Linked DNA regions of Oryctolagus cuniculus. The protein of the gene in region 3 interacts with the protein of the main gene of each other region in a pairwise test. Links are inferred from orthologs where the notes say so. Each region holds a gene or a part of one and is shown on either strand. Other genes may lie near its edges.

The links.
Region 1: the proteins of PRKAB2 (region 3) and LZTS2 interact in binary tests that used the Homo sapiens proteins (3 or more experiments, as listed by UniProt). The link is inferred for Oryctolagus cuniculus from reciprocal best matches to the Homo sapiens genes PRKAB2 and LZTS2.
Region 2: the proteins of PRKAB2 (region 3) and ADAMTSL4 interact in binary tests that used the Homo sapiens proteins (3 or more experiments, as listed by UniProt). The link is inferred for Oryctolagus cuniculus from reciprocal best matches to the Homo sapiens genes PRKAB2 and ADAMTSL4.
Region 4: the proteins of PRKAB2 (region 3) and cone-rod homeobox protein interact in binary tests that used the Homo sapiens proteins (3 or more experiments, as listed by UniProt). The link is inferred for Oryctolagus cuniculus from reciprocal best matches to the Homo sapiens genes PRKAB2 and CRX.
Region 5: the proteins of PRKAB2 (region 3) and CSNK2B interact in a two-hybrid assay, tested with the Homo sapiens proteins (2 studies listed by BioGRID and IntAct). The link is inferred for Oryctolagus cuniculus from reciprocal best matches to the Homo sapiens genes PRKAB2 and CSNK2B.
Region 6: the proteins of PRKAB2 (region 3) and BEN domain-containing protein 5 interact in binary tests that used the Homo sapiens proteins (3 or more experiments, as listed by UniProt). The link is inferred for Oryctolagus cuniculus from reciprocal best matches to the Homo sapiens genes PRKAB2 and BEND5.
Region 7: the proteins of PRKAB2 (region 3) and PSMD11 interact in binary tests that used the Homo sapiens proteins (3 or more experiments, as listed by UniProt). The link is inferred for Oryctolagus cuniculus from reciprocal best matches to the Homo sapiens genes PRKAB2 and PSMD11.

What each region holds. Positions count from the first base shown.
Region 1 is NC_091446.1:28,872,964-28,877,164, forward strand, and holds the start of LZTS2 (leucine zipper putative tumor suppressor 2), read right to left. Parts: upstream 2,801-4,201; 5' UTR 2,556-2,800; intron 2,418-2,555; exon of another isoform or gene 1,693-2,417; 5' UTR 1,623-1,692; coding exon 1,572-1,622; intron 1-1,571. UniProt on the Homo sapiens protein: Negative regulator of katanin-mediated microtubule severing and release from the centrosome. Required for central spindle formation and the completion of cytokinesis.
Region 2 is NC_091438.1:47,452,929-47,457,118, forward strand, and holds the start of ADAMTSL4 (ADAMTS-like protein 4), read right to left. Parts: upstream 2,801-4,190; 5' UTR 2,753-2,800; exon of another isoform or gene 589-2,752; 5' UTR 515-588; coding exon 498-514; exon of another isoform or gene 245-497; coding exon 190-244; exon of another isoform or gene 1-189. UniProt on the Homo sapiens protein: Positive regulation of apoptosis. May facilitate FBN1 microfibril biogenesis.
Region 3 is NC_091438.1:50,111,967-50,115,954, reverse strand, and holds the start of PRKAB2 (5'-AMP-activated protein kinase subunit beta-2), read right to left. Parts: upstream 2,801-3,988; 5' UTR 2,402-2,800; coding exon 2,246-2,401; intron 1-2,245. UniProt on the Homo sapiens protein: Non-catalytic subunit of AMP-activated protein kinase (AMPK), an energy sensor protein kinase that plays a key role in regulating cellular energy metabolism.
Region 4 is NC_091449.1:9,969,913-9,974,060, forward strand, and holds the start of cone-rod homeobox protein, read right to left. Parts: upstream 2,801-4,148; 5' UTR 2,601-2,800; intron 2,346-2,600; 5' UTR 2,274-2,345; intron 1-2,273. UniProt on the Homo sapiens protein: Transcription factor that binds and transactivates the sequence 5'-TAATC[CA]-3' which is found upstream of several photoreceptor-specific genes, including the opsin genes.
Region 5 is NC_091436.1:138,947,093-138,951,213, forward strand, and holds the start of CSNK2B (casein kinase II subunit beta), read right to left. Parts: upstream 2,801-4,121; 5' UTR 2,782-2,800; coding exon 2,710-2,781; intron 1,645-2,709; coding exon 1,542-1,644; intron 982-1,541; coding exon 866-981; intron 459-865; coding exon 383-458; intron 239-382; coding exon 49-238; intron 1-48. UniProt on the Homo sapiens protein: Regulatory subunit of casein kinase II/CK2.
Region 6 is NC_091438.1:123,791,698-123,795,197, reverse strand, and holds part of BEN domain-containing protein 5, read right to left. Parts: intron 1,460-3,500; coding exon 1,243-1,459; intron 1-1,242. UniProt on the Homo sapiens protein: Acts as a transcriptional repressor.
Region 7 is NC_091448.1:41,599,261-41,602,760, forward strand, and holds part of PSMD11 (26S proteasome non-ATPase regulatory subunit 11), read right to left. Parts: intron 2,669-3,500; coding exon 2,608-2,668; intron 402-2,607; coding exon 339-401; intron 1-338.

The DNA.
Region 1 (4,201 bases), on a different chromosome or scaffold from region 3:
AGCTCTCTGCTGTGGCCTGGGAGTGCAGTGGAGGATGGCCCAAGTGCTTGGGCCCTGCACCCCATGGGAGACCAGGAGAAGCACCTGGCTCCTGCCTTCGGATAGGCGCAGTGCGCCGGCCGTGGTGGCCATTGGAGGGTAAACCAACGGCAAGGGAAGACCTTTCTCTCTGTCTCTCTCTCACTGTCCACTCTGCCTGTCAAAACAAAACAAAACAAAAAGAATCCCAGCATCCTATACCCTCTCCCTATACAAGGCCTTGAGTCCCTGTGCTGTCCCCTGATCCAGGCCAAACGCCTTCCTGACATGAGTAACAACGCCCTGACCCCCCCCCCCCCCCAAGGCTCCTCTTCCAAGTACTGGCACGAATCTCATTTCTCTCTGGGCCCCAGACCACTGCTCCCTGGTCTGCACAGGGCCACCAGGCAGAGATGAAGGGATCGGAAGCCTGCACAGGGCCACCTGGCAGTGGAGGCCCAGACCCAGACCTGCAGCCCCACGGAGACCAGGACTCAGGTTAGGCAAGAAGCCCTCTCTCCCAGCACCTGGCCCAGGTCCCCAGTCTCCTGGGACAGGTGGCCTCGTTACAGGGCAGTTTGGGCAGCGACAACCTCAAGGACACCACCAGCAACTCAGACAATAATTAGGGAACAAAGAGCCAAGGCCAAGCAGCGCCCCACCTCCCCCTATTGGGCCTCAGTTTCTCCCAGACAGAGAGGCGGCAAGGGTGGAGCTGGCCAAACAGGCAGTCCACAGCTCTCAGGGCACACACACCTGCCTCCTGGAGGTGATGCAGGCACTTGCTTGTTTCTATGACAACCCCTACCCTCTCCATACCCAGTCAGGGTGTGACATGGGGCCTAAAGGAGCCTTCATGGGCGCTGCCCGACTCCAACCTCTATCAGAAGCTTCCAGCTTCCGCCATCTCCAGAGAAACCCCGATGGAGGCGGAAGCCCCACCATCACTTCTGGCAGCTGCTCCAAGACCTCACCACCTCCCCGGGCTCTGCTCCTTCCTGGAAGGGGAGAGCAAGCCTCCCTGGGGAACTCCCTCCGGTCCCGAGGCCGCAGAGCACCAGGGCTCTGGCATCTGCCGAAATCATCATGCAGAACGTGCAGGCCAAGGAGGCGGACAGAAAACTTCCTGGGAGTAGGAATGTGTGCGTGTACAGGTCTTCATGGCCGCCTTTATGCCCAGGGGCAGCAGAGTGAGCACTGCGTGCCAGGAATAATGCGTGTGAAAACATGAGTGTGTGTTTGGACATGTTCAATACATACACCCGTCTAGGTGTGAACTAACGTGTGAACCTCACACGTATGCGTGTGTAATTAAGGGTCACCATGCAAGTACGCAGGAGTAGTAAATGCACAGGTAACAGGTGAGTGTGCTGAGATGCTGAAGAGGAACCCAGGACATGGGTTCCCCCCCGCGAACTCCTGTGTGTGCACAGCAGGCCGGCCAGAGCCGGGTTACCCACAGAGAAGGCTCTGAGGGCAGGCATGTCGGGCACCGGGGAGTGCGAGGGAACCCGCCAGTTTTCACTCTGGAGTGTGGGGAGAGGGGGAACCACCTTTGTCCGAGCTGTTCCCCTTCTTTCTTGCTTGTGTTCCATCGAGTTCATCCCTTTCCTCTCTACCCAAGTGAAAAGACACCAAGAACCAGGTCGGTGTCAGTCCAGACTGCCGGAGGAGCTGCTGGGAGCAATGGTGGGCCTGGCTGCAGGGCTGGGGCCTGACAGCACCCCAAGCTCCAGCCCTGGGCAACGCGGGCACCCGGGAGCCTCCTCCTCCCTCTGCAGGGCCACGTAAGGCACGGACAGGACGGGGGAAGGGGCTGCTAAGGGGGCCATGCGGGCTGGCATTTCTGTCCGCATTTCTCCTCTTCAGGGAGCACAGAGAAAAGTGAAAACTGAAGGAAGGCGATGGGCCCACTCGGAGAAAGAGCCAAAGGCCGAGACAAAGGCTCAGGGAGGCGCGGGGGTCAGGCGGCCAAGGAAGCCAGGCAGGCCGGCCCATGGCGCCAGGCCCCGGAACCGCAAGAGGCCAAGGCCCCCCAGACCCAGAGCGACGAAAGCCGGCCAGCCAGGCCCAGCCAGTAGGACTCCCGCTCTCAGAGCCCGACTGAGAAGGAGGGGCAAGCCGAGGCTCCATTTTGAGAAATGCGCCGTGGCTGTGGGCAAAGGGAACCCCTCGCTCTCCCGAGTAATCGCCGCGGTGGGCAGGACGGAGGGCTGAGGGCTGGGGCTCAGCCAGGGCCAGCGACGGCTCTGGCCGCGCTCCGAGCTCGCGCAGACCTGTTTTGGGGGCTGAGGAGTTCGGGAAAGTCGCCCTCCCACCTCAACTCCAAGAACAGTCACGCAGGCTCAAGTCTGGGATCCGAGTTCCCATTCCGAGGCAGGAAGCCGGGACCCCTCCCCCCGCCCACCCCCACTCAGCCGACGACCCCCCCCCCCCACCAGCACGGCGGCCGCCGAACGCCGCCTCCCCTCCCGACGCCGCCGCACAGAAGTTGGGGGCGACCCCGGGTCTCCTCCCGGCCCCGGCCTCCCCCTCACCTCCGCCGCGCTGCTCCATGCTCAGCCCCGGGCCGCCCCAAGCGCTCCACAGGCGCGCCGCCCGGCTCCGGCCCGCGCGCGGCCACTCGGAGCGGCCCGACCCGGCCGGGCCCCGCCTCCGCCTCGGCGGCGCACCCGGCCCGGGCCAGTCCCCTCCCGGCCCGAGTGGGCGGCGCGGCGCGGGGCGGCGCGGGGGAGGGGTCCGAGGGGCGTCCCCGCCCCGGGGCGCGGACACGCGCAGGCACCCCACGTCACGCGTGTCTGCTGGGGCGCACGCAGGGGCTGCGCGGCGGCGAGCGGGACCCCTCCCGCCGAGTCTCGGTGACTGCGTGTCGGACGGCTCGGTCGGCTGTGGATTCGGCGGGCGGGTCACCCCCTACCAGAGCCGGGCCCCGGGGCCAGCGGCAGCTGGTCATTGTTCGAGCACAAAGGGCCAAGGCGCGGCGCGGCGGCCCCTCCCCCTCGCTTCTCTAATCGAAGCCCGCCCCAGACACTCTCCAGCTTCAGAGTCCAGAGCGGGAAGCCGAGGGTCAGCTGCCCGCCGCTCCTCGGCTGCCGGGGCCCTGCGCCCCAGCACTAGTCGGGGGCCGCGGCCAGGTCCCTGCCTGGCCCACCCCACAGCGGGCTGGAGGCGGTACACGAGGATCTGCGGAGGCGGCGCCACCTGGCGGTCGGTTCTCAGAGCACATCTACTCGCCCCCCGACCCAGGGGGGTCTTCTCCCACTCCACAGCCCGTGCCCGTGGACGCCAGCCCAGGCCTGCCCTTGGCGCGGCTCTGGACTCCCCAACTTTCCCTTGGAGTCGCTGGCTAAGAGAAGGGTCATTGCCCGGGGAAGGGCGGCTTCTGGCCTCCCCAGTGGAAAGGCACAGCCCAAGCCTACACCAGCTTCCCACCAGACAACATTCCACGGTCTCCTCAGGGTCACGCATATGCTCACCCTCTTGGAAACAACATCTTAACACCCACACGACCTTTCCCACATTCAGTCTCGGGCAGCCGCAATCGCAGAGCTTCATCCGTCACGTGGTCCCCCAGGCCTCCTTCCATGCACTCCCAGGCCAGCTCCCGCGCAGCCCCGCGTCACACCGGTTGTGCATTAAGTCTTTCACAACAACTCGCAGGCCCTCGCACCTCCCAGCATCTTTCACATGCTGACAGCCTCGCAGTACTCACAAACAGCTTCTCATACTGCACACCGTGTTTTGCATGCACTCTATCACACAGACCTTTCCTTAGGGGTCTCTGTGACCTGGCCAGGTCAGCTGATGCCCGCTGGCCTTGGCGAGGACGGCCTCCCTCGCCCAGACGGCAGCCCTCCCCCGCAGGGCCAAGGCCAGCCAGAGCTGGGCTCTGCCCCAGGAAGGAGCATCCCCCCCTTCCAGGCCACAGCCCTGGCCGGCGCTCAGCTCTATTTTTAGCTCGATGGGTTGTTTTTCTTTCTTTTTCCCTGGAAAGGGAAACATAGCCCAGCCAACCTCAGGCTCACCCCAGACCCTCAGCTTCGCAAAAACAGACTGAGCCCCTTCCCCAGTGGAGAGCCCCTTCCTCTGGTCGTGCCCTGATCCCGGCCTCCTGGGGCACTCAGAGCCGCCTCCCCTTGCTGGCAGCGCGCCCGGAGGCTCAGGCAGCAGCTGGGATCAGCAT
Region 2 (4,190 bases), about 2.7 Mb from region 3:
CTTGATGGTGTTTGACAGGGAGCCAGGGGGTCGGTGGGGGGTGGGGGATGCTAGGTGGGCCGAGTAGGAGTGAGAAGGACGTGGCTCTGAGGCTGGGGGACATGGAGATGGCCTGGCGAGGTCGGGCATGCGACCAGGGACAGGAGGCTGCCAGGCAGGCAAGCAGGGCCGCTCTTATCCAGGGCTCACCTGATCCAGGCAGAGCTGAGGAAGGGACAGAAGCAGCATCAGACACAGCCGGGGCCTGCAAACCACAACCAAAGGCAGGAGGGGCCGTCAGAACCGTCAGAACCGAGTCAGGGCAGGCGTTGCGACACTGCCCCTCCCCGCCCCCCAACACCCACAGGCTCCCATATCCTGACCACCGAGGTCTTGGAAAGCAGAAGTCACCACTTCCCCCAGCCCTCCCAGGGGTCCTTTTCCCGCGCCCTAGGGCCGAGGCCACCCCTCCCTCCCCCCGGGGTCCCCCCATCCCATCCAGGTGGCCCCCCTCTTACCAGCCTGCCCACTTCATCTCTCACCCCTGGCAAGGGAGGAGGGGCCTGGAGGTGCACACTACTCAGGCATCAGGGCGTGGAGGGGTACGCTCTGCGGGAACACAAGCCTGGCGTTTACCTCCCAGCCCCCAGGAAACAGGGAGGCCGGGAGGGAGGGCGCCCCCACCTTCCTTCGGGATGTTTAGGGGCTGCTGCCCTGGCCGCGGGCTAGGGCTGGAGGGTGGGGGTCTGACCTCAGCCTCCCGACTCAAGCTAGGCTCAGGCCCCTCCCCCTTGGCCCTTGCAGGAACTTCTCAGCCCCTCCCTAAGTCCCCTCTAGGGGCAGTTCCTAAGCCAACATCCTCAGATGGGTCCCTCTGGCCCCACTCCTCCCTCCTGGAAAGCTGAGGGAGGCTCAGGTGAGCACGGGCCGGACGCCGCACCTCACCCTGACAAGTCCCATGAGCTTTCCGAGAACGAGCCCCTTCCCAAGCCATCTCTGCATCCTTCCTGCCTCCCAGCCTTGTCTTCCCTTCTTAGCTAAGCTCCTTAGGAACAGTCAGGCACAGCTCGGCCTGCCTCAGACACTTTTTGGCCAAGGGATAAACTGAGTGGGTTGGTGGTTTAATCTCTATAAAGAAGAAGCAGGTGACTCAACCTCCCCTCTAGGCACCAGCACCCCTCCGGCTTGAGGCTTGCTTTGTGCACAGCCGGGAAGGCTGCAGGGACCTAAGCAAGGACAGGTGCAGAACTGCCCCTGCTCCCGCAGAGCCGGGAAGTCCATCCTGCAGTCTAGCCTGCTCTCAGCCTGACTCTCCCTGCCCCTGCAGGCCCCCCCAACACCTTCTGACTTTGAGCCCTTCCTGCCCCCACTCCTAATCCTGCTCTTAGTTCTGCTTTCCAGGAAAAAAAAAAAAAAACCCAACCCTGTTTCTGTTGGATCTGAAAGGCACCCGGGAGAGGGTTCCAAGGAGCCATTGCGAGGTGGGCCGGCTCAGGGGCAGCAGAAGCACCATGGGGAGAGCAGGAATGTGCCGGGGGTGGCAGCCCGCGGCCCTGTTCCCCTCCCTGAAACCCGGAGTGGGCAGGGTCCCCCTGCTGCTCGGGGCTGGGGAGGGGCTGCTGATGGCCCTGGCTGAACTGACCACTGAGGTCAGCCACCCCGCCCTGCTGGGCGCCGGGAGGCGGGGGCCCATGTTCTACGCAGACCTTCAGCCCCAGGCCTGTGGATGAGGCTGAGGGGAGGAGAGGTGGGTGGGGGTCACGCAGGGGCCCCCTCCACGCCCGCTCTGCCTCTGCTTCTCTCTGCCGGTCTCCCCAGTACATATAATCCTGTCCCGAGCGGGGCTTGGCTTCGGCAGTTCCCTGGAGAAGTGAGGGGTGGGGGTGACGTGAGCTCCCGGGGCGCGGGCCAGGCCTGGCTCCCTCTCTGGAAAAGTCCCACCCTGCCCTCCCCTGCACAGCTGGGCAGGGGGCCGATACCCCCTCCTCTGCGAAACAGACACACATTTGTGCTTTTTCACCCTTTGCACGCCCCTCTTCTGGTGTCTCGCTGCCCTGGGTAAGGAAAGAAAGCAGAAGGGGTCACTCCAGTGCCAGGCTGGATCCTGATCTGGAAAAACCTGGGCACCTCCTGGTCACACCTCCTCACGCTGGCCAGTGAAGATCAAAGAACAGACCTGCAGGGCCGGCCCCCTCACGAGGCAGGAGTCACTGAGAGGGGAGGGGCTGGCGGTGGACAGCCCCTGTCCTGGGTCAGAATCTCTTGCTCCCACCCGGCCCTCAACCCTGGGTCCTGGGGGAACCATCGCAACAGGTGTCTCTCTTTTCCGTCAACCTCTTTCGCCATCAGGCTGAGCGGCATCAAGGCGCCCATCTGCATCCCTCCCAGCGACCTTATTCCCAACTGCGGGAGTGAGGGGGTGTCAGGAAGGACACGTCCTCCGAGAGCAGCAAGGGCAGGAGGCGAGCGCGCCTGCAGGGAGGTCTTGGGTATGTTTTCCAACTTCACTATGTGACTTAGTAGGAATCTTGGCTCATTCCCCGCGCGGGTGATGGAGCCAGAGTTACACGGGATCAGACCCCCTCCCCAGGAATTCGACCCCAGGGGTTAGAAGATCTTCCGAGACCATCAGCGCCGGGGCCGGGGTCCCGGCGGGGGCGCGACCGCGCGGAGCTGGGGCCAGGGCGGTGCGGGCTGGTGCGCGGGCCGGGTGGTCTAACGGGACCCAGTGGGCAGGGGGCGGCCGGGGCCGGGGCTTGGGGAGGGTCTCTACCTGCTCGGCGCGCCCCCGGCGGCACGGTGGCCCTTCTGCGCCCCGGCGCTCCCTCGGGGCAGCCTTGCTCTGCGGCGGCCACTCCAGCCCCTGAGCCCGGCTCCGGACGCTGCCGCCTCCGGCCGCGGCTCCGCCCCGCGCCCCGCCCCGCCGGCGCCCCGCCCCCCCGGCCGCCGAGCGCCCCTGCCCGCGGTCCCGGGGTGGGGACGGTCGACCCCACAGCCTCCGCGCGCCAGTGCCACCCACCCGGGGCTGCGTCTTGAGGCAGAAGTCGCTCCCGGGGCTCAGGACCCCAGCACCCGCTGTGCCAGCGCTGCGCCCGTCCGAGCGGGGTGACCTCGAGGGGCGGCCGGGATCCAGGTGGCGCCTGGTCCTGAGTGACCTGGGCGAGGCGCGGGCCCGGAGGGAGGCCGCACGCAGGGTGCATGCAAATGGTCCTGTGCGTCTCCCGGCCCCCGTCGGCCAGGGCGCGCTCCTGCACACAGACCAAGGTCAGTCGCGGCCGCCTCTCTGGGCCCTGGCGGCGAACCAGGTGGTTCTGGGAGCCTGGGTTTCCTCCACCATAAAGTTTTACATGCAGGGCGTAGCGGAAGGAGCGCGCGCCGGTGTATGCGTCGGGCCGGCCTGCCGCCGAATGGCAGCTCCGGCGCTGTCCGGTTCGCTCTCTGTGCTGCAGAGGCCAACCGGACGTCGGGGTCGGTGACGGACCTGGAGTCGGCTGTCCGTCCAGTTGCATCTAGAAGAACGCACCCCGACCTCGGCAGCCTTGGGGACGCTGGGGAGGAATGCGTCTTTGGAGCAGGGAAGAGAAAGGGTTTCGCGTCTTAACACTGCGTGTGCTGTTTAGATTTTTAAGCTTGAAGCGTTATCCGTGTATTATGTTAAAAAGGAAATTATGTAAAATGACTGACAGAGTAGATGATGATACATGGTCACTAGTATTTAATTTTTTAAAACGTTTTTATTTGCTACTCATGAATTGCATTTTGGTGAGTCTATTCAATGTTTTAAATTTATTTATTGGGACCTGTGTTGCGGTGTAGCTGGCGAAGCCGCCACCTCCTGAGACACTGGCATCCCATTTGTGGAAGATGGCCTGAGTGTTTGGACCCCCGCTGCCCACATGGGAGACCCAGCCTGGTTCAGCCTTGGCCTGTGTGGCCATCTGGATGGAAGATCTCTGTCTCTCTTCCACTCTCTGTAACTGACTTTCAAATAAATAAATAAATAAATATGTTTTCCAAGTTGTATGTGTTTGAGAGAGTGTATTCCCACCCACTGGCTCACTCTCCAGATGCCAGCCTCTGCCAGAGCCGAGGCTGAATTGAAGACTGGGCACACAGTCCAGACCTCCAAAATGGGTCCTCAGGGACCCCACTACTTGAGCCCTCGCTGCTGCTTCCCAGGCTCTGCATTAGCAAGAAGCTGGAGTAGGAGC
Region 3 (3,988 bases):
CACAGCGCCTTTTGATATTCCTCAAAACTAAGTATGAGACCCCAGTAATAGCATAATTCAGGCTTAAGAGAAAACCCCGGTCCTCATGTTCTCAAAGCAATGCCTTCCTGCCTGACTGGCTGCATCAGACTCACAGGATTTTTTTTTAACAGACCTAACAATAACTCTCAGGCTCTGAGGCAGATACAGGAGCTGGTAATCTACTTCTAAAAATCTTCCCTGATAATAACAGTGTGACTTTCTACTAAAAGCGAAAAAATCACCTTTAGCACATTATAAAATGTTATGATACAATACTCGATACAATGTCTACAATGTGCTTCAAAATACTTTGGTGAGGATACAGTGGATTGGGACTTAGATGACACATGTTCATTCATGACTTGGTCATTGTTTAAAATGGCTGACAGGTACACAGAGTTCATTATACTGTTCTTGCTACTTGGTAAAGGTTTCAGAGTCACCATAACTGAAACAAATCTCAGGTTATTCTTATGTGCAACCAGGATTAAGAACCACCCAACCAGTCTGGTGATGGAGGCAGGCACCTGGAGCCCTCTGGGCCTCCCACCACTGTTTCCGTCAGTTACTTTTATGACAGATCTTCAGTGCAGAATCTGAAAGCTATGGACTATTAATATGCCTAGCTTCGGAGGAAAGCCCTCCCACTTATGACACAACATTTCTGTGGTAGGAACGGATGCAGCCGACTGGCAGCAAGAATATTTGCTCCAAGTTAAATAGTCGGCAAAACCAACAGGAAAAGGGGCAAAACAACAGCTAGAGCCATAGTTTGGAAATAGGTGAGAAACATGTTGAGGAAAGGAGAGAGTAGATGGAGTACTACAAAATTTTTGAGTTGGATGAAACCTTAGGAATTACATAAGCCAATTTTTAAATATCACAAATGGCAAGACTGCAATGTGGGGGAAAAAATGATCCAAAATAGGCCCCAATTCAGACACAACAACCTAGCTTTTATTGAGGCCATCAAATGCTGCAGTCACAGTTTCACAACCACACTGTTCTTAAATCCTGAGTCATTAACATCAAAAAAGGGTAAAAACACAGGAGGCAGATCACGTTGGGAAAATTCTGAACAAGTAAATTCAGGTGGCTGCGGAGACAGCCCAAATGATGGGGAAGAAATTCTCAAGTTGAAAGGGAAAAAAAGCACCAGAAAAGAAATCCCAAAACAACTCCTTTCAATCACTCTCTTTTCTGTCTGTGATTCTGTTCTCAATGGGGATTCCAGAAGATAAAGAAACCACAGCATGCAAATTTCCTGTACTAGCAATGTGGCAAATAAGGATCTCTTTCTGCCCAGAGGCCCTAGTTGGACGAAAGTGATGAAGTGATAAAAACATCAGACCCTGCCATCTTTGTCTCTCCATTGTTCTATTTCACCCTACTCAGCCCAACTGGAGAAATTAAATGCATTTCATGCCGACAGTTCTAAGAGTGATTAGACACTGCTCTGGAATCATATGGCTGTCAGCGCCATCTGTCCATTCTGTAGTGTGAACGCAAGTTGGTCTTCCCAGAAGTCCTAGGAACTGAGAGCAGGCGCTTCAGAGGGGCAGCTGGGGGTGGGTGTTTTCAGCCACGGGCAACACTCTCAAGTTCTCCTGGAGAGGAGAGGGGACTGGGAATCATTTGCCCTCCCAGCAAGCAGCTGGGTGTCGGCCACCACACCAGTGCTGGACCAAGCAAAAGCAGTCAACCAAATGACGTCCTACTGATCCCAAGCCTAGGACAAAGTAGTCAAGAAGGCAAGGAGTCGCGGCTCACGGCCGTACCAAAGGGGAAGAGAATTTCAAGTGCAGAGCTCCTAGAAAGGCAAAGATGACACTGATACACAGACATTTTCAGGAAAATGAAATTCACTGAGCCACCCTCAGGGCCAATGTGAAAAACTGCCACCTCCCCTGCGAAGTTTCCCCACCCAGTTTACAATCTGCAAATTCATCAACACTCCAAGAGGGTACCCGAAACGGCGGCTGTCTATTGTCCCCATCCTTTAAAACGTGGCGGAGAGACTAGTCAGAGAATTCCGCCGCCTCGCCCTATTTTGAAGCAGCACCGTAAGAGGAATTACCATCCAACACCTTCGACTCGGAAAATCCCTTTTAATTCAAAAACCCATCACCCAGTTCAGTGTCATGAGAAGGAACCCAGCAAGGGAGGAGCCCGAAACCAAGCCGGCTGCAGCACCGCCGACGTCTTGGGGCGTGAGGCCGCTTACCTTGGAATCAGGCAGGCTGAAGACGCTGGGGTCGTCCGTGCTCCCCACCATGATCTTGTGCTCCTTGCTCGGGCCATGGCCGCCGGCACCCTCGGCGCGCGCAGCCTTGGCGCCGTGGCGCTCCCCGGACACCCGGTCGCTGGTGGTGTTTCCCATGACCGCGGCTCCAGTCGGGGGCCACCTGCCGCGGGGGCACCACACCGGGCGGGGAACACCCCAGACGCCGCGTCCGTCACCGGCGCCCCCGGCCCCGCCCCTGCGCCCGCGGACCCGGGCGAGGGAATCCCCTCCCTCCCGGCCTGCGGGAACCCCCGCAACTCCCGGGCCTCGGCGCGGCCCCGGCTCAGGGAACCGCTATGGGGACCTCCCCCGCAGCCCGCGCCGCCTGCCCCAGGGCGCCCACGCCCGTCACCACCTCCGGCGATGCGCTCCTTCTTGTCCAGGCCACCGGCGCGATGGCCGTCCCGCGGGTGACGCCACCAATAAAGTTATTGAAATTGAAGCCGCGCCCCGAGCTAGCGCCCCTGGTTTCCTCCTAAAATGGCTACAAGGCCAGCGGCGCGGGGGGCCCGCCCCGTGCGCGTTCCCTGCGGCCCGCCCGCCTCTCTAGCCGCCGCCTCGATGGTGAGCCGCGCGCCGCAGCCAGCGCCGGGCCGCGCGGGGGCACAAGGGCGGGAGGGAGGCGGCGTCCGGAACCGCCGGGGCGTGGGCTCCGTGGGAACAGGCTGCCGGGAGGACCCGCGGCGGCCGCTCCCCGGGCGTCCTCACCCCGCCTCAGGCGCCCCACAGGCGTGGTGTGCGCGGCGTCATGGCCCTGGGCGACCCGGAGAGGTGGCTTCCTACAGGGAATGAGAACGGACCTCGGCCCCGAGCAGAAGGAAGGAGTGGTTGTCCCTGGACGCGAACACTGGGTACCGGGGGAGAGAAGTCAGCCCGACTGGGGTCCCCGGGAAGAGCTCAAGATGGAGTGATCGGCCGCTAGCCCGTGAGGATTAGTGAAATGTTAGCGGAATGAACCTGTGCGGTGGGCACCCCTGGAAGAAATAACACTCCGGAGACAGAGCAGCAGCAAAACCCATCAGAAGGAACGCGGAAGGTATAATAAGGGCACAGACAGCCCTCGGGTTGGGAGGGACCCCGTTTTTGTGATCATGAATGGAGGTTCGGGGCCTTTGCGGATCCTTGCTGTGTATTATTATCTCATCCGTGTCTCGTTCCCTACTGCAAAGCTCTGTCAGCCTGGGATACTCGTGTCCGCCAGCGGCCCCGGCATCACCAGGGAGCTTGTTCGACATGCGGACTCCCGGGCCCCATTCCCACATAGGGAATCAGGCTCCGCCCTTTAACAAGACCACCTGGGACTGTGAGGAGGGTGCTTTGACAGCTGGCCTACAGCGGAACCACGTGTGATTTCTGTCTGTATTCTGCATGCACCTCGTACAAAGCTTTTTACCAAGCATTGGCAGAGTGAAGGGGACATGCATACCGTTACACGTTTCTAACAAGATATGCGACTTAGGCTTGAAAATGGCCAGTGATTGGGGACCCAAAGGCACCCCACCCATCTTTATGAGTGAGGGGCTCTATCTGTAGAGAGAGGTTTGCTTTGCCCCCTTGTAAACTCATTCTCTGGCTCTTAACCACAGACAATTTACAGAGAAAAAAGTACCATTTTACTGCAGTCTCTTGCTCACCCCTCCAAAATCTTTTTATTTATTTATTTATTTATTTATTTATTTAAAA
Region 4 (4,148 bases), on a different chromosome or scaffold from region 3:
AGCTGGAATCACTTGGTCCAGTGTGACCAGAACCAATCACAGGGCAGAGAGGAAAGATCTAGGAGGAGCTGCGGGGGCGTCCTGGGGTAGAAACGCATAGAAACAAACCAGCAGCAGAGAGCAGTCCACCCTGATGGCCACACCCTGCGGGGACCCCTGTGGGTCGGCAGGGGCTGCAGTACCTAACCAAGAATGCTGGGGACCTGGCAGAGGGCAGCCCCCAGGGAAAGCGGAGCTGGCTGCCGCCTTAGGAGGAGGCTCAAGCAGCCAAGTGGGAGATCTATGCCTGCTGCCCACCGCCTTGCAAGCTTGCAACACTTTGTTACCTTTCGTAGCAATTCAAACAGCCCCAGGAAACTGGCATTCCAGCCTCCCCCTGACCTCCAAGCAGGAAGTACCTTGTCACACAGCCCTGGGAGGCAGGGACCCCATCGCACTCCAAAAGTTGTGCTCAGGCCCAGCGAGGCCCTCTGGGGACCCCGGATTCCACCCCTGCCTTCTCAGCCCCTCCATCCGCCTCCCCTCTGCTGTCTCCCACTTTGCAGAGGAGAAGTGTTTGCTATGAACCCCAAGAGAGCATGGGAAGAGGGAGACTCGGGAGGACCCCGCAGTGGGGCAGGAGGACCCTGCTGGTGTCCCCAAAAGCCTGGACTTCCCATGAGGACAAGCCCATCCTACAGGCAGGATCCCAGGGGAGGAAGGCGCGTGCCCAGGGCCAAGCAGCAGCATGTGGGAACCCAGGGTTGATCTGTTCGCTAGGCGTGGATGAAGCCACGAAGACGGGATGTGACAACAAATGACAAGCAAGAAATGAACTCGGAAGGGCCTCCCTGGAACCTCCTGAGAGGAGTGGGCGGCAACACGAGCACCCCAGGAATTGTCAGCCAGGATCTCAAGCGGCTGATTCCGGCTGTGTCTGGGAACTGACCATGGTCCTGACAGCGCCCCCTGCCCCGCTGCATTTCAAGGCCCCAGGGCTGGTGGGAGGGACGGCAGCACCGGCCAGGGGCCCCGCGTCCACCTGAGCGCTCACCCCCACCTCCTGGGCAGGCCTGCAGTGACCCCATTCTGCATGGAGGGGTCTCTGAGCCTGCTGGGGAGGAGGATGCCCACCCTAGTCCAGGCATTGGATAACAATAAGGACGTCCCAGCGTTCCCAGCTATTCAGTCCCTGCAGCACGGCCTTGGGAACAAGACATCGGGGGACAAGAACCTGGGGGAGGAACTGCCTACGAGGCTGCTCCTGGCATCAGCCCCAGTATACAGAGGGGCAAATTGAGGCTGGTCCCATGACACACACAGGCCAGCAGCTGGGCCAGCGCCCCCTGAGCCTATACCCACCTTGCTCTCCCCCAGTCCCCCAGAGCCCAGGGGTCCCAAGGCCACATGGGTGGTAAGTGGCAGAAGCAGAGAGAGAACCCAAGTCTCTCAGGACCCATCGTTGTCCCCCAAACCTACCTGGGGTCCCAGGAAGCAGGATGAGGCCACCCCGCCCCTCCCCTGGCCTGTGACCCCAGCCTCCCTCAGCTCCTCCGTCACCAGCCCCACCTTGCAAAGGAGGAGACCGGAGCCCAGGGAGGCCACACCCAAAGGGCTCCATGCCCACCCTTGGCAAGGGGCCCCAGCTCGGCTGTGTGCCCCCCCATACGATCTCTGCAGCCCCCGAGGGCTCCTCTGTCCTGGGTCCCCAGGGAGCAGGAGAGACCAGGAGCTGGAACCTCGGAGGGGATGTGGCACGGCCGGAGCCGTTAGGCGTGGCAAGGTCCCCAAGTAATGAGGTCACCAGCCTCATGGCTCCCAAAGCATCCCGGCCCCTCGGGCAGTCCCCCCAGGGTCCCCACTTAGCAGAGCCCGAGAGCCCGGCCCCGCGTGCACGCGTCGCTTCCTTTCTGTCTTTCCCTGTCCATCCATTCACACCCTGGCAAATCCCCCACCACACAGCAGGCACTGGGAAGAAATCAGGGGTCAGAGAGAGAGAGAGAGTGGGAGAGGCAGATGCCCAGAGAAGAAAGTTCCAGGCAGCAGTGAGACTTCTCAGGAACACCCCGCAGGGGTGCAGAGGGGCTGTCTGGGAAGGACGGCCAGAAGCCCTCACCCCTGCACCCTCCATCCAGGGCCCCTGCGTGTGCCCAGGGCCAGTCCCCGCCCTCTGCTGTGTACCTGCCCAGTCCGCCACCCCACAGACCCAGCCAGCCGGGAACAAGGGGAACTCGGCCCCGGCCCCAACCCCGGCCCCCGCCGCAGTGCCCTCTGCCTCTCCTGCACTCGCTCACCTTCCGAAGGCAGGGACCGACCTGGCTGCCCTGGTGGCCCAGGTCCCGCACACGGCACAGGAGTCACCCAGGCTGCAGAGGCAGAAGGAAACAGGTCCCCACCCGCCGGGTGATTTTAAGCCCCGGAGCCGGGAGTGATGTCACACGCTGTGGCCTGGATCCCGGGGGGGTAATCCCTGCCGCCGAGCTGGGGCACCCACTGGGCACCGGGAGGTGACATTGGCTAGGAGGGGGAGGGGCACCCATCTGCCTAAGTCCCCTCGCCCCTCCCCCGACATCTTGGCAATTAGGGCTAATGGAGATGTGGGGGGACAGTCCTGCACCTGCCTGTGACCAGAGCCTCCACCCCTCGGGAAGTCCTTGCTTGGGTCTGACTGGTGCCCGTCCGGCTTTAGCTTTGTCACAGAGGGACGCAGCAAAGATGGACAGAAACACAGGGCGCTCCTGAGAGATTGTGGGGAGGAGGAGGGGCCCAGGGCTCTCAGCACCCACTCCTGGGTGCCCCCGTGCCTCCCCAGCCGCCCATCTCCCCATTGCCACACTGTCCTCTGCTTTCTGCCTCAGTTTCCCTCTTATGCTTTCCTTGCCTTGGCCTCACGCTGGTCCCTGACCTCCGCGTCCTCGCTCTCCCGCCCACGCTCCCGTTCTCGCTCGATTTGTGTGGGGCCTCTGTGCCTCAGTGTCTCTTCCTTCGGGCCCCAGGCTGTGCCTTGTGTGCTGATTGGCCCGTGCACCCCTCGCTCTCCCCCCACCCTCCTCTGTCTTTATGGGCCCACTTCCAGGACCCACTTGCTCGAGTGCTCGGGCACTCTCTATGCTGGTATGTGTGTGTGTGTCTGTCTGTCTGTCTCTCCCCACACACACCCTCCGCCGCCCTCCCTCCCCTCCCCAGCTGTCTCTCCCTCGGCCTCAAGGACCCGCCCTCATTTTGCTGGATCCCTGCCTGTCCCCCTCTGCCTGGGGCTCCAGCCTGGTCTCAGCCCCTCTGCCCTCGGCCGGGCAGACCTGTGTCCCCCACATCCAACCCTGAACCTGCCCCTCTCTTCCTCCCTGCCTCTGCCTCCCTCACTCCCCAGGCCCCTCCCTCTGTGTCCTCCCTGGGGTTGGGGGGGGGCCTCTTGCTGACTCGCTCCCTCCCGGGTTCCTTGCCTGGTCTCCCTCTGCACTGTCTCACTCTCTGTCTCTGGATGTTAACATCTCCCTGGGCTCTTGTCCCCACGTGGGTCTGCTCTACTTTCCCCAGACCTCCAAACAGGCATAGAAACACACACACACACGCAAACACAAACCCACATGGAACACACACAGGCAAACACAAACCCACATACAAAGACACTCAGGCATGCATGCAGGCACACATGAGCACACACACAGGAATCCCTCCTCTGGCGGCCACTGTACCTCACCATAAGGAGCCCTATCTCCACCCCCCCTTCTTCCATGCCCCCTGCTGGGAGAGATTAAGGCCAGCTGGGGAATCAGGGCAGGTCTCATTAGCCTGAAGAGCCAGGGTGACAGACAGAGAGGGAGGGGCCCCTGGCCCTCAGGGACCAGTCAGGACGTCCTGATGGGAGAAGCCCATCCCAGGACAGACCCTGCTGCCCCCCTCCGCCACGGCCCCCAGAGCAGGGGAGGGGGTGGCTCTGCAGGAGATGGAGACAGGACAGATGGGCCCATGGAGGAGGGGACTGAGCTGTCAGTCAGCTCCCGCTGGCAAGCTGCCAATCAGCAGTGCTGCTAGAGTGGGTTGGAGAAGTGGGCTCAGGAGGCCCCGTGCCCTGGCCCCAAGGGGGTCAGTCCAGGGAAGCTGGAGCAGAGTGCTTTCTTCCTGGACCACACCAAGGCTCCCTTTCTTCACCCCACATCCAGTCCACC
Region 5 (4,121 bases), on a different chromosome or scaffold from region 3:
GATTCTGAGTCTTTCCTTTGACACATGGTGACTCTGTCTGCTCCCCACCTGGGCACAAACTGGTTGGCGGGTCGCTTGGGCCGGTACTCGGGATGCACCATGAAGAGCATGTGAGGGAAACCAGTGCCGAAGTAGGCACCATCCGTGTGATGGTGCCTCGATGACTTGGGTGTGTACACGTCCATGCACTTGGGGCAGTAGAGCTTCACCATGGCCTCACCTGGGATGTCCGACAGGCCTGGGAGACAGCCAGACTCAGCAGGCCAGGCACCCGCGACACTGCCGAGTCCCCTGCCCCAGAACTCAGCTCCCGCCTTGCTGAGCCCAACTCCTTCCCAGAGGACTGCCAGATGGTGCCCCCTCTCCCTTCTTCAATACTCACCGATAGGAAGCATTGGCTGGTTCTCACAGTATACACGGGGACAGTAGCCAAAGTCTCCCTGCTGGTACTTTTCCAACTGAAGGGAAAAAAATGGAAGGGATTGGTGGGTGGGTATGAGGATAAGCAGCGACCCCCACATAACTCTGTCCTCCACATTTCCTCCCTCTTCTTGGAGGTCCTTGTGCAGATCAAAGGGGCCCACCAACTTTCCCCCCAGTTAGGGAGGCTAATGACATCCAGGGCCATTTGCCGTCTGTTCTCTGAGGAAGAAGCAGTCCACAACTCTGACCAAGCTCACATCGCCCTCCCTGAAGACACCCCCTCAGCAGGACGTCCAGGGAGGACTCAGTTTCCCGGCCCAAACTCTGGGTTTTTCTCATCTCAGCTCGACTCCTTGACAGGGCTGCCAGATTACTGCTCACTGTAGGAACCTGTTTCCCTTACTGCCTCACAAGGAGTCACGCAGGCGCAGAGAGGCCTCACCATCTGGGCGATGCCTCGGTTGGTGAGGATGTAGCGGGCATGGATCAATCCGTAAAGCATCTCGGCCGCCTGCTCAATCAGGTCGCTCTGGTTGGGGTTGTCTTCCAGCTCTTCGTCTGAAATATGGGCCAGCCACATGCAACCACTGGCGTTCCAGCTTTCCCAGGTGCCCCGCCCACCCCCAGGGCTGTTGGCTGCCCAGTTTGCCCAGCACCCATCCTTGAGCTTCACCCAGTCCTCACGTGGGCATTTAACCTGGGTCTCTGCCCCTTCCACCAACCCAAGGAAGCCCAGCCTTCTCTCCACACCTCTTCAGCCTCTGCTCTCTTCTCTCCCTCCCAACTCCTTCCTTAGTACGTAAATACAAAGATGTCAACACAGAAGGTGGAACTCTAGACTGGAGGGTGCAAGGCAGGCAAAGAGGCAGTAAACAAGACCCGCGAGGAAACTCGCATAAGGAGGAGCGCTGAGCTACAAATTCAGAAAGTATGGCAGCAAGTGCTATCAGTCACAAAACTAGGCAAGAATTCAAGGAGGGGGGCAAAAATGCTGCTGGGACTTTGAGGTTAAGGGTGTCAGAGAACCAAAAGGAAGTTTAGAAATTCAAGAGGTAAATTCAAGAGGTAATTTGAAGAGAAAAACAGCCCCCCCACCATGAACCTTGAGGGTGTCTCACCAGGTTCCAGGTCCAAGATCATGTCTAGAGCTTGTCGATAGTGAGGCACCTGCTCATTGAGGCCGGTAAGGTTAAATTTGTCCTGGATGTAGTCTTCATCCACCTGGTAGAACACGGAGGTCAAGAGGAAAACTCCTACTGGGACCCCCAGCTTCTGAGCTGGCCAAGGTCACCTAACGAACGCCTTGTCGGCCACACGGCTGCGTCTGGTCTGCCTGTTTCCTACTCCAACTCAGCGTCAGTACTTCAGCCGCTGTCCCGAGTTCACACGCACGCCCTCCCCCCCGTGAAAGCTCCAGCTTCTCTCCTCCAAGGACAAGCAAGCACAGCAGTCTCCTTAGAGACACACTCGACTCCCGCGTCTCTAGTCCTGTTCCTCATCTCTAGGAACCAGTTCTGTCCTCTCCTGAGGGAACAGCTGCTCTCTGAGGAAGGTGGAGGCTGAACAGCTTGGTTTCTGAAGGTGGTTAGAATTCCTTATGTCAACACAGAGCTTTGCATGTTACAGAACATTTTAAGGTGCAGTATTCCAATTCTCCTAACAGCCCCCAGAGATAAGCACTACCAGTAGCATTCTAGTAATGAAAAAGCAAAGGAGAAAGGACACTTGGCACGGTGGTTCCTACATGGTTAGAGATAACCCACATCCCAAACTGGAATGCTCAGGTTCAAGTCCCAACTCCACTTCCAATTCCAGCTTCTTGCTAACACACACCCTGGAAGGTAGCAGGGTGATGGCACAAGTACTTGAGTCCCTGCCACCCACATGGGAAACCCAGGTAAGTTTTGGGATCTTTACTTCAGCCTGGCTGGTAGCAGTAGCTGTTGTAGAAATTTGGGACATAAACCAGTAGACAGAAGATCCTTCACTTTCTCTGTTGCTCTACCTTCAGATACTTTAAGTACAATAAAAAAATTAAAAAAGAAAAAGAAAAAAAAAAGATGGTCTGACTAGTTCAATGTTATCCTCCTGGGGGTGCGGTGGGGTGTGTGACAGAAATGGGACTTGGGCCCCAGTCTTGCCACATCGCCGCTGATTAGTGGGGGGTTACTGAGGGGACCCCTTCTTTCACGGGAAGGAGTTTCCACGGGATAAAGTGTGCAAAAGCTGAAGATACCCAACCTGAACGCATGGAACCAGCGAGTAGGAAGAACGAAAAGCACTCACTTCACAGAAGAATTCATTGCCACGGAGCCCACAAAACCAGGAAATCCAGGACACTTCCTCCGAGCTGCTCATCTTCACGTCAGCTGGAAACAGGAGTCAAGTCCAAGCTCTCCCTCCCCGGCTCTGGCACCTTCCCTCCTCCCACACTCTGTCTTTCAGCCATGGAAGAATTTGGGGCCACCCTTTTTTTTTTTTTTTTTTTTAAAGGATCCCAGCCTTTGGGACAGGCTTCTCTAGCTCTTGTTATTTACACCTCGGCCCCTTTTCTCTGAATGAACTTAGAAATTCCTTGGCAGGAGCCCACAAGTACCGACCCAGCAGTCCCTACCTACATCCCCCGCGCCCCCGATGGCCAGACCCCTCTCGCCTGTGTCAACTCTGGCAGAGTCCTCGGCTCGGGCTCCCTACCACCGCAGGGCTCCGGCACCCTTCCCCAAGAATTAGAAGTTTATCTTTGCCAAGCAACGACCGACACCTCCTTTTCTCACGACCCGGGGCGAGGGGCGGGCACCGCCAGGTACTCTTTCACGGAGTCCCCACAGCCTGCCTCCCGCTCTCCGGCCACCCTTCCCTCCCACGGTTACGGACCGGGTCACTTCCTTCCTCGCCCCCACCTCAAGGCGGGGAGACCCCATGTGCCGCTCCTAGGGACCGGGAACTCCGCGGGGCAACCACTTCACACTCACCAGCTGGACGGGGAGCGGGACCGGGGTGGGGGAGGGGAACAGCTGCTTCCAAAGAACGACGGCGACCGCTACAGCGAAGGCCGCGGACCCGACCGCGGCAGGCGAAGTCGGGTGGGGGGAGTGGAAATCGGGGAGGGTGGGGAAGAGGGCAACGCGCAAGCGCCGAGGGGCGAGAGCCGCGGTGGACGCTGGGAGATGGAGTCCGCTAGGGCGAGAGACCGGCGAAGCGAGGGAAAAGCGAACTACGAATCCCAGGACAGCTCACTCACGACCCTCGTGTCGCGAGGCCCCCGAGGACGCGGCTCGGGGGCGGGGCACAGCGAGGCGCCACCGGAAGCGGAAGCCAAGTAAGGCGTTCGGGGCCAGGAGCCTGGGAAATAGAGTCGTATGCTCACTGGACTGAGGGGCCAAGAGGGGGCGGGGGAAGAAGCGAGGCGAGTCGGGTCGCAGACGTTGCCCTCGGGGACCCTCAGTGAGCCCTGGCCAACCCTCCTAGTTCTTATCAAGTCGGGCACGGCCTTGCACAGGAGAGCCCCACGTTTTACCCTGAGCTCGGGCCTTCTGAGGTGGGAGGTACGAACGGGCTCCGTGCTGAGGGACCTGGGTCGGGTGTGTCTGTCCTGAGTTGAGCGTTATTGACAACCAGGACGGCCCGGTGCGCTAACCTGAGGCGGCGCCGGCCATCCTGCTGCTCGTCCCCTTGCACTTCTCCATTTCCTCCCAGGG
Region 6 (3,500 bases), about 74 Mb from region 3:
ATCATTAATAGCTTTCAAGATGGAAGGAGTCACAAACCAATGCATGCAAGCAGCTACTGGAAGCTGGAAGAGGCAGGAAACTGAATTCTTTGCCAGAGCCTCTAGAAGAATTTCATATCTGGTGATATTTTTAGCTCTACCTTCCAGAATTATAAGACAATAAATTCATGTTACCTTAAGCCACCAAGTGTGGGTAATTTGTCATATGAGTAATAGGAAATCAATAAGGAATCAAACACTGAATTCTCCAATCCCACAGAACGAAAGCTGGAGAAAGGAAAGGAGAGTTTGGAGCTGATGGTGGCAGAGACAAAACGCACTTCGAGTAATAAATCAAACTGCACACCACTCACCAAACTGTACTGGAGGCAACTTGGTTTCCCTAAGAAACAAATAGATTTCTCCTCTGAGAGGTTCATAGTCATAAAATGCTTCCATATTTTGGGGTTGGTGCTGTGGCTCACTTGGTTAATCCTCTGCCTGCAGCACCGGCATCCCATGTGGGCACCAGATTCTGTCCCGGTTGTTCCTCTTCCAGTCCAGCTCTCTGCTGTGGCCCTGGAGGGCAGTGGAGGATGGCCCAAGTGCTTGGGCCCTGCACCCACTGGGAGACCAGGAGGAAGCACCTGGCTCCTGGATTCGGATCAGCGCAGGGCCAGCCTTAGCGGCCATTTGGGGAGTGAACCAATGGAAGGAAGACCTTTCTCTCTGTCTCTCTCTCTGTCTATAACTCTACCTGTCAAATAAACAACAACAAAAAAACTCCCATATTTTTTAACATCCAGGAAATTTCCCTCTTAAATTTCCTTCTTTTCTCAGTTTTTGAGATTTACCAGAACTTTTGTATTTTACTAGAAAACTTTATCAGATTCATTCAGAAAGACAACTGTTTACCTCACATCTTATTCTGTGGCTTTCTGGTACATACAGCAACAAAGAATCACACAATAAAAATGATATTTAAAACAACATTAACTAATAATAGTTAATTACACTACTTAATACTACTATTTAATTATATATTATATAATACTAATTATTTAATTATAATTTTATCCAACTAATAATTATTCAATGACTAAACAATTTAATATATTACTTAATATAATAAATTATTAAATCTCTCTATATAATCTATAGAGCACCAATATTCGTTTTATGCATTCTGTAAACTTATTGTGAAATCCCTACCCCAGGGTTGCCTAGTTCTAATGGGCTTCCCAAACCAGGCACAAGTCTTACCACGCTCTGACCCAGCTGCTCTCGAAAGAAGTAATCCATGTTTCTCTTTTGTAGGCTGTCAAGGTAATGCTGAAAGCGGGTGTATGTATAAGGGTAGCAGTAAGCAAACTGGTAAATGTCTTCTTCTCGGTCAAAACAAAATGCAAAGGACATCACGTAATTTTTCCTGTGGTCCGGGCAGCGGTAGTAGTAAACATTTTTAGGTGGCAGTCTTTGCCTGAAAGATACAAAGAAATTTGGGCATATCAGACAATTGTTCAAGCTTCAAAAGTCAATAAATAGGACAAAGGATTAGGAGAAAAACTGACGCCAAGGACCCTGAGTGGTGGGAATGGGAAACAATAACAGACTACACAGAGGGAAAACCAGACCTGACTTTGGCAATGTTTTGTTCAAAATCCAGAAGTATCTTTTTTGAACTGCTTAGAAAACATAAGGTAAAATTAAAATGAGCAAATTTCATCTTCATTTTGTTTATCCTTATTTTGAGCACTTAATGTATGCCCAGCTGTTACATTAGTGTCTTAATGGACAATAAGACAAAGTTTCAGTTCTCATGGGTTATAAATTTTAGTGGAGACTTATTCAGTAAGATATTAAAAATAAACAGACAATAAAGTTAGAGACTCCAAAAGTTTTTTGAGTGAAAATAAAGAGTGTAATGTTATGGAAACATAAATAGGAGAGGCCCACTTTTTCCAGGGAAGTCAGTTTTTCTTTATTACAGGACTAATTCAGACCTTTTAAAATAAACTAATATGCATTGTGAATATTCAAGGAAGGGAAAGAATATTAAACATTTTTTCTAAATTATTACTATTATTTTTCTATAGAGAATTCCATGAGACTAATTTTCCATAGAAGCACTTTGGGAAATATTGCTTTAAAATATGCTGTGTGAGTGTTTTGCTAAGTCATCATGTTCATTCTTCAGTAAGGAACAGAGATGAATACATAAGAAAAGGAAAATGTTCCAGTCAGAGTCGTCTTAACTCCTTTTTATTTATGCTCTTCTTTTTTATTTAAATTTTTTATTTATACAAATGTCGGGGACCATGTAGCATGTGGCCTCTTAGTGGAAAACTAGTGAGGCAGGACTAGACAGCCCAGACCGGAGGGAGAGTACTGATAACACAACCTTGTATGACCTTGTGCCTTAAGACCTTGTAACCTTTCCCCTACTTGCACAAGCATTGCAGCTACAAGATAAGCTCCCCCCCTTCCCCCGCCCGACACCCTGCCTTTATGATATATAAGAGTGTGGTTGAAAATAAAAATCGCAGCTTAATCAGGACTTGTCTTGCTGCCATCTTTGTGTCTCCTGTCCCTTTCATTTCTCCTTCTAGGTGCTCGGCTCCAGTTGCTGTCCCGCGGGACAGGACATATAAATGGAACAAAATTTATATATCTCATACATATAATTTTATGTACATAATGACTTCTAACCCCATCCTCCATCCCTCCCTCACTCCCACACTTTCTTCTGCTTCCTTTCTTATTTTTCTTTTAATTTTTTTTCTTTGAGAACAAGATTTATCATTAATCAAAGAAGTTCCAAAGGAAATGGGCAATGGAGTTGGGCACTGAGGCTTATCTAAAACTTATGAGACATAAGATTATCCTTTGCTTAATACACTAATGTGAAGTTGATCTTTGAGAACAAGTTTTACTATTAACTCTCATAATACAACTCTTTGAGGACAGAGGTCCTACATGGGAAGTTAGTACATGGTGACTCCTATTGTTAATTTAACAATTAACACTCTTATGTATGACATCAGTAATCACCTAAGACTCTTGACATGAGCTGCCTAGGCTATGGAAGCCTTTTGAATCCACAAAATCCTTCAGTATTCAGACAAGGCCATAAGCAAAGTGGAGGCTCTCTCTTCCCTTCAGAGAAAATACATTCTTCTTTGATGATCACTTCTTTATCCTGGAGTTTCACCCACAGAGGTCCTTCATGTAGGACATCTTTTGCCACAGTATCTTGGCTTTCCATGCATGAAATGCTCTTGTGGGCTCTTGGGCCAGACTAGAATGCCCCAAGGACTGATAGAGAGTTATTGCACCCTCTCATGCTTTCTGATGTCCAAACACTTCACATTGCTTCCCTACAGAGAATGCTTCTCATTTCTAGCTCCTCAAATTCTCTTAATCCTAAAAAAAATCCATCTCAAATTGCGCCTTTTCCATGATCCTATGTTGATGATTCCTGGCCAATCAGCTCAAGTATTTTGTAGGCTCTCTTGCTTCCT
Region 7 (3,500 bases), on a different chromosome or scaffold from region 3:
AGACCCCGTTAGCTGTGTGACTTTGGGCATCCTCCTGAACCCTGGTTCCCTCAACCACACAATGCAGGTAACAGATCTGCCAGGGGAAAGGATGACAGAAAAACCTCTGAAATTGAAAAAGTTCCCATATATAAATTATATATCATTTAGATCACCTTAAGTTTCACCGTATACAAGTGCATAAACATTTTCTGGTTTTGATATTTTACCAGGTGACTCGTACAAGGGATCACTATACTATTTTGCAACTTTGTGTGGAATTCTATTTCCGTTAAGTTTTCTTAAATATACATCCATTCTCCTCCACCCATTCCCTACCAACCCAACACCATGCTCACCTTTTCAAAATCTGCCAGTGATCTGTTCTTGCTAGCCTGAGCCACGCATTTTAATGCTTCTGTCTGAGAATAAAGAGACAAATCGTGAAAGTGATCTATTGTGCACTCACATTCACCCAAAAAGTCTCATGAGCAGTCTGTCGAAGAGCCCTCCCCACCACTGCTCCTTCAGAGGTCTGGGAAGAAAAACTACAAGTGTGGATATCACTGACAACCAGTTTCCTTTTGAAATCTTAAAGACACTAAGAATACTAGGAAATAGGTTTTCCAAAAAGACCCCAATGTAGCATTCTCCACAGTTGACACGCTCAGAGGGGACTGATGAGACAACTGTGGTCTTCCTCCTTCCTCCAGGACTCCCTTATCTCCACACCCACCCCACCTCCCTCCTGCCCTCAGACCTGCCTGCACCTGTGCTTTGTCCAGTCACTCGGAGATGTCTGGGAAAGTACTAGGGCCCACTTTCATTAGGGCCGAGGCGTCAGTATACACAGAATACACACTCACAGGGATGAAACCACAATCGGTGGTTATGGGGAACTTCTCATATAATTATAAAAGGCCAAGCTACCAAGTCTCCACTCCGTAAGAAATCTGCAATGCTCATTTTTTTTTTCTGGGAGACCAGCCTGACTGCTATTTGAAAGCTGTCATCCAAGTATAAAGGACAGAAGGAGCTGCTCTTCTGTCAGACTACATCCTTAAAGAAGGACAGTATGCTTTACCACACAGCGGATTAAATGGTGCACAGCTATCGCAAGGGCGGTCTGCGGTTGACATTTCTAGAACAAATGTTAATGCTACAATGACAAAAGCCTGAACCCAGAACCATATAACTCAAGCACAAAGTCCAGCTCCATTAGCTACCTGACCTTGTACCAGACACTTGACCTATCTGCACTCATCTCCTCAACTCTAATTCTAAAGAGATTAGTGCATCTGTCACTACAATAGTAACAAGTATTTTTCAGGTCAAAACTAGGAGCTGACTTGAAATTTTTACAGATGGAATGCCAATTTCAGGGCTACTTGTAGAGAACAAAGAAATTATGTTGTGGCCGTTCCTCCAAAAATATGGTGAGATAGCCAATTTGCTTGTTTGCAACAATTGCATTTGAAATGCAGAAAGTCTGCTTTCACTGGTGCTAATCAGGCAGAGTACAAACAGGGGATGGCCCACATCTGAGAAATGAGACTTACATAGGTCACAACATACTTGCTCTTTTAAGCCCATTCATACCCACTCAGACATAAGGTATCACAAAAAGGGCTACCAATCACCAAGAGTCTCTTTTTTCATCAAACTCAAATTTTAAAGCATGAGTGAAAAGGTACTGGGGCTGGCACTGTAGCAGAGCTGTGGCGGAGCCGGTGAAACACCAGCCCTGGCTGCTACAGCCATTTGAAGAGTGAACCAGCAGAAGAGCTCTCTCTCTTTCTTCCCCTCCTTTCTCTGTAACTCTGCCTTTCAAGTAGATTAAAATAAATAAATAAATCTTTGGGGGAAAAAAGGTACCGAGCTGAGAAGCACTCAGGTTGGTATCAAAGCCCAGTTTTACGCCAGGCAATCTAACCTCCCTAAAGCACATATGCAGCAGAACTGACCAGGTTCCTGACTCTGGAAATCCAAGATTTCATAGGCTCATGATAGTTAATCTTTTGGTCAAAGTTAATGCAACCTAACTTACTCACTCTACAGTTCAGTTCTGGAAGTCCCTCAAACCACTTGACATCCATAAAAGCACAAAACACTGAATTTCTGGCCCAAGAATTTAACAGCATAAGAAACATACTGAGGGGCTGGTGCCATGATGTGGCAGGTAAAGCCACCGCCAGCAGCACCAACACCCCATATGGGCACCGGTTTGAGTTCTGGCTGCTCCACTTCCGATCCAGCTCCCTGCTAATGCACCTAGGAAAGCATCAGAGGACGCCTCAAGTACTTGGGCCCCTGCACTCACATGGAAGACCTAGAAGCTCCTAGCTTCCAATTGGCCCAGCCCTGCTGGTGTGACCATTTGGGAAGTGAACCAGCAGATGGAAGATCTCACTATCTCTTTGTCTCTCTCTCTCTCTAATTCTGCCCTTCAGATAAATAACTAAATCTTTAAGAAAGAAAAAAAGAAACATACTGAATGTGCTTAAGGGAAGGAAGCAGGCAGGGGGAAGGAGAGAGCAGCATGGAGCCCTGAACAGCACTAGTCTCATCAAACAAGGTGACTGACAACATGCCGGCCTGAGTGAGAAGTGCAGTCAAGGTATTCCCTACCTGCCTCCCTGCATACCGAAGTGCAAGCTTCCCGCTCACCAAAGCCTGGACATCTTCTGGGCTAGAAAAAAAGACATACTCGGTCAATTGCTCCAGGATGTTACGCCTCTAAGCATAGGTTTAGGTGAATTTTCCTTTTTCCAGAATTCTACTGTGAACACTGGGAAGACACTGCCCACGCAAATAATCAGCCCCAACCCTTGAACCCATAGGCCCCTCATTCCAAAAGCTAGGCCTTCTCACTCTGAGCCAAAGCTGAGCACTGAGTAGAAAATCTCCAATGTTAAAAGAAAGTCAAATGGAAACTATTAAAAGCAATACACCCAGCCAGCGCCGCAGCTCACTTGGCTAATCTTCCAACTGCAGCGCCAGCACCCTGGGTTCTAGTCCTGGTTGCTCCTCTTCCAGTCCAGCTCTCTGCTGTGGCCTGGGAAGGCAGTGGAGCATGGCCCAAGTGCTTGGGTCCCTGCACCCACATGGGAGACCAGGAGGAAGCACTCGGCTCCTGGCTTCAGATCGGCACAGCGCTGGCTGTGGCGGCCATTAGGGGAGTGAACCAACGGAAGGAAGACCTTTCTGTCTATCTCTCTCTGTTTCTAACTCTGCCATCAAAAAAAAAAAAAAAGGCAATACACCCAACAGGCAGAACGATAAATCAAACCCCAATATAATAGGTCTTATTAAAACACAACCCCTGTGTAATCCAAAGATGAAAAACAAATCCCAGTATTTCATTTATTCCCAAAAGTGTATGAATAGTCCTGTAAAATTCTTTATAAAAAGATTTGTCATACTCTTTGTTGTTCACGCTTCAAAATTCTCCTTACCTCTTCCCTCCCCATTCTGCCTGGCTGGGTAGCACTGGTCTCCAAGCTATTTCCTGACCCTCTGTC